Linked DNA regions of Mytilus edulis. The protein of the gene in region 2 interacts with the protein of the main gene of each other region in a pairwise test. Links are inferred from orthologs where the notes say so. Each region holds a gene or a part of one and is shown on either strand. Other genes may lie near its edges. The genes, in order: anamorsin homolog and glutaredoxin-3-like.

The links.
Region 1: the proteins of glutaredoxin-3-like (region 2) and anamorsin homolog interact in binary tests that used the Homo sapiens proteins (3 or more experiments, as listed by UniProt). The link is inferred for Mytilus edulis from reciprocal best matches to the Homo sapiens genes GLRX3 and CIAPIN1.

What each region holds. Positions count from the first base shown.
Region 1 is NC_092348.1:975,050-982,417, forward strand, and holds the start of anamorsin homolog, read right to left. Parts: upstream 3,344-7,368; 5' UTR 3,315-3,343; exon of another isoform or gene 3,193-3,314; intron 1-3,192. Other genes in the region: targeting protein for Xklp2 homolog, read left to right, coding at 3,701-3,803, 4,814-4,990, 6,547-6,582, 7,175-7,271. UniProt on the Homo sapiens protein: Component of the cytosolic iron-sulfur (Fe-S) protein assembly (CIA) machinery required for the maturation of extramitochondrial Fe-S proteins.
Region 2 is NC_092347.1:91,572,448-91,579,847, reverse strand, and holds the start of glutaredoxin-3-like, read right to left. Parts: upstream 3,378-7,400; 5' UTR 3,285-3,377; coding exon 3,220-3,284; intron 1-3,219. UniProt on the Homo sapiens protein: Together with BOLA2, acts as a cytosolic iron-sulfur (Fe-S) cluster assembly factor that facilitates [2Fe-2S] cluster insertion into a subset of cytosolic proteins.

The DNA.
Region 1 (7,368 bases), on a different chromosome or scaffold from region 2:
GGCTGTTTTTGACATTACAATGCACATATATCGGGTTCTAGCACCATTAAGTCATGCTAAATTACTGAAATCTTCACAATTCTAGCTTTTTAGTTGAATTTTAGAAGTTTTCGTGTAAAACGAAAGTGGCCCCATTCGTGTTCATCCTTAATATTATTGAAATGTAAGTTGTATTTTATGATAATACATAACATATATAAAGGTTGAGCATGGAACACGGATGCGGCCACTTTCATTTTTGACAAAAAAACATCTGAAAAGTGATATTTTTTGGCATATTTGGTAGATTTTTCATATTTGAGCTTGAATCGGATCGTTTTTAATGACTAAATCAGTTAAAAATTTTCACATAAACTAGTTAATTCAAATGAAATAGACACTTAAATGTTCAAAAAGTTGTGAAAATCTTTCGTCAGATGAACCTGAAATTTGAGGCCAAAATCGGTTCTTACCGGACCTACTCCTTTAATTGCCCAAATGTTCAAACTTAAATGTACATGTACGTATGTACTGTGCATCGAAACAAATGAAAACTACAGAATTTAGGAGAATTTATGAATTTATGTTTTCCCAATATCCACTTTCTGTTGGAACTAGCTCTGCAGTCCCATGGCCCAAGCTTGCTGATGGAGTTTGGAGTAATCTTAGACTAGAACTATTATTGATGTGTTCTGTGCATTTTTACTGTTAATGAATTGATGATATATCTTAAATATTTATTGTGTTAACATTTTTAGTCAAACATTAACATTTGTATATTCCAGACCTACTTTAAAAAAAATAGTTCCTAGATTAAAGATTAATTGTCCCTTGTGACATATTTTTATAAAACATCCATGAAATTATGTCCAAGCACTTGGGACAATTTTTCACTAAGGGAGACACTATTTTATAAAATAGTTTAAAAATGTGATATTCTGTCCCTGAACGAAATTTCACAGATGAATTGTGAAATATAGTTCAAGAAGATACAATTTCATGGGACATTTTTTTTGCTTACAAAAAACTCATCAACTAAAATAATCAAATTAAAAATAAACAGCTGCGCCATGAGCGCATGATACGCCCGACATCTTGTGTGGAAGTTTTATGCAATAATCATAAATAGTTTCTGATAAAGTTTTAAGCAATAACCATTTATTGTTTTTAAGACATGGCGGGACATGTGAACCCCCCCCCCCCCCCCCCCCCCCACCCTGTTTTTTTTTTTACAATTATCACTAAAATAAAATTTTGAATCAAACCAAAAAGTATACAGATCTTTAGATTAATATAAAAAAGAAGTGTGTACAGTTTCAAGCAATAATCATAAATTGTTTTTGAGATACGGCGCGACATGTAAAAAAAAACCTCCCCTTTTTTACAAAATACTCAAGAACTCAATAATAAAATTTTGAGTCATCACCAAAAAGTATACAGATCTTTAGATTAATATAACAAAGAAGTGTGTAAAGTTTTAAGCAATAATCATACATCGTTTTTGAGATACGGCACGACATGTATAAACCCCCTCCCCCTTTTTTACAAAATACTCAACAACTCAAAAATGAAATTTTGAATCATCACCAAAAAGTATACAGATATTAAGATTAATATAACTAAGAAGTGTGTAAAGTTTTAAGCAATAATCAAAAATCGTTTAAGGTGCGACATGTTTTAGTTACAAAGTGCCGTAACTCAAAAATTTTAAATCATATTTTCACCAAAAAGTATACAGATCATTTGACCATCATAAAAAACAACTATATTAAGTTTCATGAAATTTAGATAAGTCGTTCTCAAGTTACGGTGTGACATGTTTACGCCGGACAGACGGACAGACAGACGGATAGACACCGGACACCATAATACGTCCCGTCAAAATTTTGACGGGCGTATAAAAACCAATGTTTTTGTTTAATTTTATTTACATAAATAAGTTGACTTGTCCCCTATTTTACTTTTGGTTTCTGATGCGAGTCTTCATGTTCCAACTGATTTGTCTCATGACGAGTTTTAACCCTGTTCTCGTTAATACATTATGACATGCATACATCCCGGTACGTGCCATGGACGCTTTCTGATACCAATGGCTTAGTCTTGTTATCATCATCACCCCTCAGCTCTCAAAAAGAAGCTCATCACATAAATATTATTACCGGAAATTTACTTTCGTTTCAGTCCATTGCAACTGTAATGATAAATCCCGAGCAATACTAAAAGAATTATGACGACATGACAAACACTAATTCGATAAAGACAGAGAAGATCGAAAAGTTTTCATCACCACGTGTACCTTTGAAAAGGAGTAAAGGAAAATTTCAACAGCCTTACAGGGAACCTTTCAACGCTCTATTTTAAGAACGAAAGGACATTTCCAATTTAAACTATTTACGCGACGACTATGTAATAGATAAGGCTAAACTATGCACACGATTTATCAAGATCTCTGATGTGATTAATAATAAAATATAATAAAACCAAAATGTATATGCAGTATAATTAATGTTTATTTCAAAACGGGTTATCTTGAAACGTGGGGCATTCTTACTTTATGGGCCGAGTAATCATAGGCCGAGTTTACTATATATAGCGACTGGTTTACGGTAGTAATTTTACCCTCCAGTATCAGTATCTGTATGTAAATAAAGAGATTGCGAAACCAGTGTAGACAATATTGGACGAAGTTGTTAGATATGACCAGGGTTTGGACTGTACTTTGCCGAAAGTACAACACATTGATGTTCAATCACAAATAAATTTACAAGCCCCTTGGGCTACCGCGCCACGGACATTTACTAGCCCGACACAAAAGTTACTAGTATTGGGCTAGCGTTATTGTCGAACCCTGTTTGGGGTGCAAGACATTTTTTCTTGTAACAACAAAATTTAAAAATTGCGGCAGTGATGTCTTGTAATGAATGATAGACAAAAAGCATTAAGGTCACATTCTAGAATTTTCTTCAAGAGCTTTTCCCAAATAAAAGGTTGTATAATACACCTTATCGCTATTTGTCCGCCATTGCTGGAAATCACACAGGTTCCCGTAAAATTTTGACGTCATAAAACAAAATGTCTGACGCCACAATGGAAAAGTGATTGTTGTTGACGTCAAAAGTTCAAGCGGACGGGTCAGCCGGGAATAGCGATAAGGTGTATGACTGTCAAAACGTTGGTGTCTTATTCGAACTGAACAACAACAGTATAACTTACTTGATTGCCATTTATAGAAAATAAAGGGGTAAAAAAATCGATAATTTAAACCTCTTTAATACATGTACCACTTTGTCCATAGGGTAATGAAAAACACTATTAATTCAGAACAAATAACCTACTTTCAGTTTGTTACTACTTTCTTCTTAATGACCTTCGACCTTCACCTTGAACAGGAAGTCCGAAACATAATTGCAATCTATTCAAATTCGAAAAGGGAAATATATTTTTCAAGTCCTTTATTAGAAACATTATTTCGTAATTTATTTTCTTTGAATTCATAATTGTTTCATTTGAAGTTTTAATTAACTAGACTGGTTTCTTGTAATTTTTCTGTTTAGCTCATAGTCCTGTATTTTGTAAAGATAATACCAGTCTAGATTGGAAATTATTTGACCAATCACAGAGACTTTTTCTTACTGCAACACCTTTTTTTTTTAGTATGATTTTGATTGGTCAAAATTGAAAGTGCGGGTAGATTGAATGTTGAAGGAAAATCAAAATAGGAATGGAGGATCCTAAAAATATGGATTGTAGTTGGGAATTTAACGCGCCTCAGTTTGTTGATTTCTCAACTGCATGTGACGATGAAGATGTTGATCGTTGGTTTGGTAAATAAATAAGCACCCATTATCGGCATACACAATATATGTCCAAATAGTGACAAATGTGAAATGATATAAATTATAATTTTGTGTGCCATTACATTCTTTGACTTAATATCAAATTATGTGTAAAATCAATTAGTAAAAAGTTACAAGAACTTAACTTCCTACATAGGCATAGGCCATATTTTGACAGTCCCAGACATAAGAAACATATTGTCAAACATCGGTTGCTCTAGCTTGCCATTTGGAAATTGAAGACATTTTTAATTTTAAAGACTAAAGTTTACTGTAGTAAATCTCTTACCGTACTGTACCCCCATTATGTCCCTCTTCTATTCAATGTCATTTGGTCTCTGATGAAGATATTCTTATTATTCATACCAAATCTCAATCTGTGCCAAACTGTTTTAGGGTTTTTTTGACAGAAATAGAAATTTGAACATTCAACTTAAAAAGTTCTGTCTGACTGATTGATTTTTTGTCTGACATTTTGACAGTGAGACAAGAGTTTGGGATACATGTATGTGATCAAATAATGTCTTATATTTAAATTATATTCATATTCATTTAGATTAATCATCTTATTTTTATATTATGAGAAATAAATACTTGTAAGTCTGTTGGTCCCATGCGCTTTTCAGTATTATTTTCAACCAATCATTCCAACGTTCGTCCCTTGAATGATTTTAAGACTAACAGTGGAATCCACCATGTCCACACAGCCAGTGATATCATGCATTTTTGAAAGATGAAAAATTTGCTTTCCTACTGACCTACTGACCCTAATATTTTACAGCTTGTTATATGAAACCTGTTATTTTTGGCCTTATCATAAATTGATTATAAGATAGGATTTTTTATTTTAATTTTCAAATTAGGTCCCCATGGGGCCTACAAACATTAACAAATATACCCACAACATATTATTTTACCATACAAACATGACAAACATAACAAATATAATTTTTACATGACTACATGTATATTTATATGGTAAATTATTTTTATTTTAGATGTTGATCATGAAAATGAGAAAGATGATGAAGACATATGTAATGGAGTGGATGTCATTGAGGATGCTGAACAAGAGATTGAAAAACTTGAGGGTACACCTAAGCAAGAGGCTAGACGTCTTACAAGATCCATGTGTCACACTCCTGTAAATGAGAAAGGCCTACCTGAGGCCTCAGGTAATATAAGATATATAAGTGTGCTGTGAGCAGTGAGAAACTTTCAGCATGTTCATCAATGATATTAATTAATATATAAACCCCATATATAAAACATTTTTTCTCATTACCCCACGCTACCATGTCGGGTATGGGTACACTGAAGACTGGTAGTAAAAGTACATTGTTGTATCTTCTTTTTCAAAAAACAAAATGTATAAGTCTTAACCCTTTCAACGCTATACACGGCATATGCCGCGATGACGTACGCCGTTCGCCACTGCTATTCGCGGCATATGCCGCGATGAAAAAGGATTTTTCATAAGGACTCTTGAACCATTCGGTTTTCATTCGGGTTCTCTCTAATTTTTCCTCGTTTGAATCTAGGATATGCAAGGTCTCATTTGCGCTTGAAATCCCGACAATTTTTATAGTAAAATCATGCAGTAGAAGGAAAATAGAAGGTAAATAAAAACAAATATTTTGACAAATGCAAATGGCGGAAATCGGAAACGAAGCTGTAAATATGGAAAAATTTCAGCATTTCCTTGGCGAAACTAACAACGAGGATTAGTTAAAAGGTTTCTTGTTATCTCAAAGTGTTTATTACATTAAATTCGTGTGGGAAATATGATTTGATCGATCATTACGAGACGTAGAAAAAGGGGGGAAAACGGAGGTTGACTGAATTTTTTTAGGATGGAGCTATTTATTTGTGCCACGATTACATAAAACGTTATGTATGGTACAATACGCTACGGAATCGGGCAACTGGTGTCTTCTTTACAATATGGCAGATAAAACAACAAAATAAATGAAGACTAAAAGTAGTTTTTATTCAAAATTCAACACAAATGTAATAAATTACACCTTTTACCTGTTAATTACCTGAAAACGCAGGTAACCTGATAAAAATTTCAGTAAAATAATTGCCTAACATTACAGTTCATGCTCTCCTGAGAATTTTTCATGCAATAACTTTCTCTGTATCTCATATAATAAAAAAGATACAGCAGTCTGAAAAGGAAAATACTGTTCTAATGAATGAACTAAAAAAAAAATGCAGCAGCAGCAGCCATTTTTCTATTTTTTTGTGTAGCGTTGAAAGGGTTAAAATTTGATTACATTTGTACATATATAATGCCTTAATAGGTGTCCAATCACTGGAATATGTACATGATGTAAGTGATGTATTTCCAAGAAAAGTGACATTGATAGTAAAGGAAATGATACACAATACACACATGATACATACGTTCAACAGCTCATAGTTCAATGCCAGACAATTTTGCACCATCAGCATTCAGTAAAATTGTAACATAGTTTTATGTATTATAATACAACTGTAGATTACCACAATCATAAAATATATATCACCTACTAACTAGTCTTGGGAATATACCTCTTTTTGGTGGTAATTTAATATTTGCAACTAAGATTGACCTTAACACCCCAACTATCAGAAATGTTTATATAGGTATCATTTTTTATATGTATTCAAATAAAAATCGACTACCATAAAATTAAATGTGCTTCATGTTGCATTTATAAAACGCATGTATTCTGTATATTTTCAGATGAGAGTAAAGATCAAACAGAAAAACAAAAAACAGGTGAGTATTTATTCTAGTGCATTATTATTCCAGGACTGCAGAATAGTGCAGATTGTCATTGTATGTATCAACACTGCACTTGTGAGCAAAAAACCTACACATGCACTTACCAAGACACTTCAGGCATGTGACTGTGAGGTTACGAATGAGGCTCAACGACAATACAGCATGTTCATACAACCTAACAATTCTTAAGCTAGCAAATGAATTATAATAATCCAAATTATTTTAATATGAGGACATCATACAATCTTCAACAAAGACAGGTCCATAAAATATGCTCTTAATTCCCCTCACCTCATAAACATTATAAATGATTGTTTCCAGCAACTACATGTTTGTAGGTTATGAATCTATCACAGAACTACAATGTACCATCAGCATGTCAGATTTAAAAAAGAAATCAATGCTCTCTATATAAGAGAACTTCTACTATGACGATATTCACCACTGCTTTAAAGGAATGTTTTCAAGATGTTTACCTATTGTAGATGTATACTGACATCTTTAGTGGTTAACTGTCTCATCCACCTCTTTACAGATAAACCAGTTCTCTTATATCATGTATATATGTCTGTGCATATATTTATAGGAAAGCTAAATGATTCCTTGCCATCAAACTTATGTACACTGAGTGGTTGGAAGAAAAGGACAAAGTCCAGAACAGACCAACAGCCTGAAGTGAAAAGGTACATTTTAATATTAAATTGTCTTCACTGAGTCAAGTTTTATTTTATACTTGTCACATTACTACAAGTTTGCAACCTGTAAATTAGCTAAATAACG
Region 2 (7,400 bases):
TTTATAAATATTTCTTTTACACATCTAAAAAATATATATATAAAATGTTATATAAAAATGTCCATCAGATATTGATTGAATATTGCAAAGAAATATCTCCTCGACATACAATTGTTCTCATTTATAAAACTGTCTATTTAACGTTTTAAAAACATCAGCAAAAAATATTTATTATTCATTATAAAAAAATATTTACAAAAAATGTGTTTATATTAGCAATCAAACATTGGGACGAAATATTATTGTTAAAATATCATTAATGCATAATTTCTGATGTAAAAAAAATGTCTTTAAAATATTTTTTGGTAAATATTTTTGAAAAACATATATATAACTAGTCAATAATATTATGAAAATATTATGTGTTAGCTGGGTCTATACTTCATATTTTGGCTGAGCCTGACCTCCCTATCAATATAATCAATGTATCAATCATTCATTATATACCTTCATACCTTAAATTTATCTTCGGGTCGTTACATAAGCCAAAGGCTTCTACTGACCCCTCATCTTGGATTGTCGTACATGTATATGATTTCTCATAATAATATATTTATGTATAATATATTAAACTTATCAAAAAATACTTATTTAGGTGTGCGCAGCTGAAACACTTAACATGAACATATGAATTTATATAGGTTTCAATTTTCGCCATTTAAGGTTCATCATACGGAATTGAAAAATATGGCCGTGTTTACACCTCAAAAATTACTACGAGTACAGACAAACTGGTACATCCAGGAAAGTTTTAAGGCATGGCAGGAACTAGATATATAAAAGTTAGGCCACACCAATTTAATTTCTTGTTCTACGGATTTTTGGACTCCAAAATTTGGGGCGAGCGAGCGATTTGAAAATTTTAATAAAAAAATATTTAATTTGCAAATTTTTGAGGCGAAGCTTGAAAAGTGAAGGCGAGCGATTATATTTTTTTTTTGTAAACATAAAATAATAGGTTTTGACAATATTAAAACTTGATTTATCACTTGTACTTTGACATTTCTTTGATTTCTGAAGTATTTTTTCCCTGTTCACCAAGAAATAATTAAATCTGGTCTATGTATGTGTGACTGACAATGAGACAATTCTCCATCCAAATCATAATCAGTTTGGGGGCAACCCCTTAATGTTATAAATATCCCTTTTACATGTTTTTTGAGGGATCAATATAAGTAATAATATATTTGTTTGTACAAAAGGGCTCATATTTTCTCATAGAACTATATATCTATCTGGTATTAAATGGTCAAAACATGTCCAAGAATTTAGTAATATTCCTGGACTTTAACCATGTTAACACATTTCCTTCAACAGTTTAATATTATTCAAAATAAGTGGACCCCTCTTTTAGAAAAATTTATTTAAAATATGATGTAACTCTCCTCTTTTTGAGTACAAAATTCTAAGTGTTCAAAGGTTTTGTATAGAAGAACTATACAAATCCTTGGTATTTCTATTTTCTTTTCTACATCAGTAAAATGACCCCCAATCTAATTAAAAACCGATCTCTCAATGCTCCTGTTTCTGATATGTCGCGTGGGAGATCTAACGAAACCGGCTTTGAGGTCACATGTGAGTGAACTAAAAGTTATGAATTTATAAAGATATGCAAATGAGTTGACGACCTATTAATAAGCCAATCAAACAAGTTTATGAATTATTTTGACTGACGATTTCGTCGTAAATAAAATGAGTTACATCCCTTTGCCTTACGTTAAACTTCCAAGATCGTGGAAGACTCAATTTCATTGGTCGAAAAAGACACACCTACGAGGTCACTCACATGTGACCTCAAAGCGGGTTTCGTTAGATCTCCCACGCGACATATCAGAAACAGGAGCGATGAGAGATCGGTTTTTAATTAGATTGAATGACCCCTTGTCTGAGCTAGGGAGGGTTTTTCTCAACCTGATAATAACAAACACAGGTCAAAGTGCAGCCTTTTACACAGGGCTTTGATACAGACCAAACAGCAAGCTTTAAAGGACTCCAAAATTATTAGCGTACACAATTCGAACAGGAAAACCAACGATCTAATTTATATATCCAAACGGGAAAATACCAATGAACAACATCAACAAACGATAACTGCTGAACATGCTCCTGAATCAATCAGGACAGGTGCATAAACATGCAGCGGCTATGGATAGTTTTGTTTCGCCAGCATACAATATAATTGCAGTTGAAGGAAAATCCTTCAGAAGTTCTTTGTACTTTATTCTAACCACGAACATGTTTTGATAGGGAATATAAGTAAGGGGGAAAGAAACCAATTTTTTGTTCCTCACGGAAATACCCGCTGTTATAACTTTTTATCGGAGCACTCCAGGTTTCATTCTGAAACAAATATTCTCACAGATATTTACACAGTGTGTTGGGGTGCTTTTATGTTTAAAATCGTTATATACAAGTTAGACTGTGATTTAACAAATGTTGATATCTTTTTATAATATTTACACAAAAAAACGGTGCGGGAAATGGACATGATTACAATTCCGGATGCGGGAAGCGGGAATATAAAAAAAATAAAAAAATTCTGTTTTGAAAAAAATAGGTGCGGGCGGGTCCGTCGAACAAGGGATCAAATTGGTGTGGCCTTATATGAAGTCTACGTTTCAGATAATTAAAAACTTACCTGGATTTTGATGTTCATTTTTTTCCAGTCTGCAGAAGATAGCAAAATAAACAAACACCAGAGTTTCATTTGATACGGTCCACTCAGTTACACAGTTTAAACCTGTTAAATCACCTATTGTTTACAGGTGTCTAGTGTCCATCTATTGTCCATTTAAATCAATACTACTCACAACATTGATTATATGAGGGGAGCTTCTCAATCGTTTTCCCTACTTAGTTAATTTTTGCACCTTCTGCAGGAACGAAAAAAAATGGATAGCAAAATTTAGAAAAGTTTATAATTTTCTGAAACATAAAATGCATTTAAAATTTATATATCTAGTTCCTGCCATCCCTTAAAACTGTTGCAGGTGTATATGTTAGTCTGTACTCAGAGTAAAATTTGGGGTGTAAATACGGCCATTTTAGCCAAAAGGTTATGATGAACCTTAATGCAGATTTAAAAAATTAAAATAGCTTTGCCAGACGTCATAATTATTTGGACTACCATTGAACAGCAGTGCATTTTAATATTTCTTTCATTATGTAATTCTTAAGTTTCATTAATATACTGTGTCAGATCATAGTTTATAAGTGTACCTGTCTGAATTATCGAGTAATTCATTAAATTCTTTGACTGAAGATGTTTCCCGAACTTTTGCCATTTTCCTCTGTAATAATGATCTGGTACCCTGATATAATGATACAGGTTTGAGTTAGCAGTGTAGGAATATTTATTACTGGGAACAAGGACAAATAAAGGGAAGTAACAATTTAAATTTAGCAAATTACCAAACGTTACTGTAAAAAAAAAGTCAAGTAAAGAACGCCAAATAAATGACTTCCATTCCAGTACGAATTTATCATATGACAATTTTGATTAATCTTATAAACTGTAACAATTTAAATTCGTAAATCTTAAAAAAACAGTAACGCGTTTTTTTTTTACTCCTGCACCATATGACCTATATTTAATCATGATAAAGGGCATGAGTTTGATAGATACAAGACATGCATAGATGATACAATAAATTAAAATGACACAAGTATATCATTAGACATAGTTTACTGTATAGACAATAAAATGATTTACATGTTTACTAAAAATTATAAATCAAAAAGTAACCAGGTGCTCCGCAGGGCGCAGCTTTATACGACCGCAGAGGTCGAACCCTGACCAGTTGGGGCAAGTATGGACAAAACATTCAAGCGTGATACAGCTCTGAATTTGGATTGTGATCAAATTTTTGACATTACATGGTTTTTTTTACACAAAACAAATGTCAAGATTTTACAAATCAATTAAAGATTTCTTCTTATTTAAATCTAAAATTAAATAGTTGACACAGCATAGGTTTCTGACACAGAATGAATGTGGTCTAATGAACTTAAAAGTTTTTTTTTGCCTTTGAGCAATTGACTATGCTGTTGAATATTAATCCTCTCAAAAAAATGTTTGAAGAAATTTTCTTTTTATTTATGAAATCTGAAATGAGAAAAATTTAACCCCCCCCCCTTTTTTCACATCCCCGTTTCCCTTTTTCCAAAACTGATATCAATTCAAATTTCTAATGGAGTTTGCAACAATAACTACTCTTTTAAATACATCATAAAATATTAAAATGTAAAATAAAGTGCTTGTTATCACTGAATGGTAAAGATTGGTTGGTAGTAAAAGTGAATATACATTGTTTATTGTATAAAACAATAAAAAAAACTTCATCAGCAACATTTTATAATGGCAAATTTCCAATGAAGTTATTTACATAAAGTTATTGGCAAATAAAAATAGAAAATGACATCATAGTCATGTCTGGCAAATTTCCAACATACATTATCTAAAACATTTTAGATAAGATAAGGAAAAAAAGCTTCATCAGCAACATTTTATATTGGCAAATTTCCAATGAAGTTATTTACATAAAGTTATTGGCAAATAAAAATAGAAAATGACATCATAGTCATGTCTGGCAAATTTCCAACATATATTATCAACTACTATTCTATACAAAGAAAGATAACTCCAATTGAAAATTAATTGCTATTGCACAATATTGTGCAATTAGATATTTCTTGCTATTGTGCAATACTGTGCAATTGAAAATTTCTTGCTATTGCACAATACTTGATATGGAATCCTGATTTGGACCAACTTGAAAACTGGGCCCATAATCAAAAATCAAAGTACATATTTAGATAAAGCATATCAAATAAGCCCAAGAATTTAATTTTTGTTAAAATCAAACTTAGTTTAATTTGGACCCTTTGGACCTTAATGTAGACCAATTTGAAAACTGGACCAAAAATTAAGAATCAACATACACAGTTAGATTTGGCATATCAAAGAACCCATTTATTCAATTTTTGAAGAAATCAAACAAAGTTTAATTTTGGACCCCCATTTGGACCAACTTGAAAACTAGGCCAATAATTAAATATCTAAGTACATTTTTAAATTCAGCATATCAAAGAACCCAAAGGATTCAATTTTTGTTAAAATCAAACTAAGTTTAATTTTGGACCCTTTGGACCTTAATGTAAACCAATTTGAAAACGGGACCAAAAATTAAGAATCTACATACATAGTTAGATACGGTATATCAAAGAACCCCAATTATTCAATTTTTGATGAAATCACACAAAGTTCAATTTTGGACCCTTTGGGCCCCTTATTCCTAAACTGTTGGGACCAAAACTCCCAAAATCAAACCCAACCTTCCTTTTATGGTCATAAACCTTGTGTTTAAATTTCATAGATTTCTATTTACTTATACTAAAGTTATGGTGCAAAAACCAAAAATAATGCTTAATAGGGCCCCTTTTTGGCCCCTAATTCATAAACTGTTGTGACCTCAACTCCAAAAATCAATCCCAACCTTCCTTTTGTGGTCATAAACCTTGTGCTAAAATTTCATTGATTTCTATTTACTTATACTAAAGTTATTGTGCGAAAACCAAGGATAATGCTTATTTGGGCCCTTTTTTGGCCCTTAATTCCTAAACTGTTGGAACCAAAACCCCCAAAATCAATCCCAACCTTCCTTTTGTGGTCATAAACCTTGTGTCAAAATTTCATAGATTTCTATTCACTTAAACTAAAGTTATAGTGCGAAAACCAAGAAAATGCTTATTTGGGCCCTTTTTGGCCCCTAATTCCTAAAATGTTGGGACCAAAACTCCCAAAATCAATACCAACCTTCCTTTTGTGGTCATAAACCTTGTGTTAAAATTTCATAGATTTCCATTCACTTTTACTAAAGTTAGAGTGCGAAAACTAAAAGTATTCGGACGCCGGACGACGACGACGACGACGACGACGACGACGACGACGACGACGACGACGACGCCGACGCCAACGTGATAGCAATATACGACGAAAAATTTTTCAAATTTTGCGGTCGTATAAAAATCTAAGTACATTTTTGAATTCAGCATATCAAAGAACTTCAAGATTTCAATTTTTGTTAAAATCAGACTAAGTTTAATTTTGGACCCTTTGGACTTAAGTGTAGACCAATTTGAAAACAGGACCAAAAATGAAGAATCTACATACACAGTTAGATTTGGTATATCAAAGAACCCCATTTATTCAATTTTTGATGAAATCAAACAAAGTTTAATTTTGGACCCCGATTTGGACCAACTTGAAAACTGGGCCAATAATCAAGAATCTAAGTACATTTTTAGATTCAGCATATCAAAGAACCTAACTGATTCATTTTTTGTCAAAATCAAACTAAGTTTAATTTTGGACCCTTTGGACCTTAATGTAGACCAATTTGAAAACGGGACCAAAAGTTAAGAATCTACATACACAGTCATGACAGTTAGATTCAGCATATCAAAGAACCCCAATTATTCAATTTTGATGAAATCAAACAAAAGTTTAATTTTGGACCCTTTGGGCCCCTTATTATATTGGGACCAAAACTCCCAAAATCAAACCCAACCTTTCTTTTATGGTCATAAACCTTGTGTTTAAATTTCATAGATTTCTATTTACTTATACTAACGTTATGGTGCGAAAACCAAGAAAAATGCTTATTTGGGTCCCTTTTTGGCCCCTAATTCCTAAACTGTTGGGACTTAAACTCCCAAAATCAATACCAACCTTCCTTTTGTAGTCATTAACATTGTGTTTAAATTTCATTGATTTCTATTTACTTAAACTAATGTTATTGTGCGAAAACCAAGAATAATGCTTATTTGGGCCCTTTTTTGGCCCCTAATTCCTAAACTGTTGAGACCAAAACTCCCAAAATCAATCCCAACCATTCTTTTGTGGTCATAAACCTTGTGTCAAAATTTCATAGATTTCTATTAACTTAAACTAAAGTTATAGTGCGAAAACCAAGAAAATGCTTATTTGGGCCCTTTTTGGCCCCTAATTCCTAAAGTGTTGGGACCAAAACTCCCAAAATCAATACCAACCTTCCTTTTGTGGTCATAAACCTTGTGTTAAAATTTCATAGATTTCCATTCACTTTTACTAAAGTTAGAGTGCGAAAACTAAAAGTATTCGGACGCCGGACGACGACGACGACGACGACGACGACGACGACGACGACGACGACGCCGACGCCAACGTGATAGCAATATACGACGAAAATTTTTTCAAAATTTGCGGTCGTATAAAAATCAAAAAACAAATTTCTCAAATTCACTCTTTCTGTGATGTAATTGAGCACCTGATTTCACTCCCGGTTTTTAGTGGAGTTCGTGTTGTTTCTTATTTATTATTTAAAACTGTTGATGTAAATGTCTTTTTGTTTTGTGAGTCT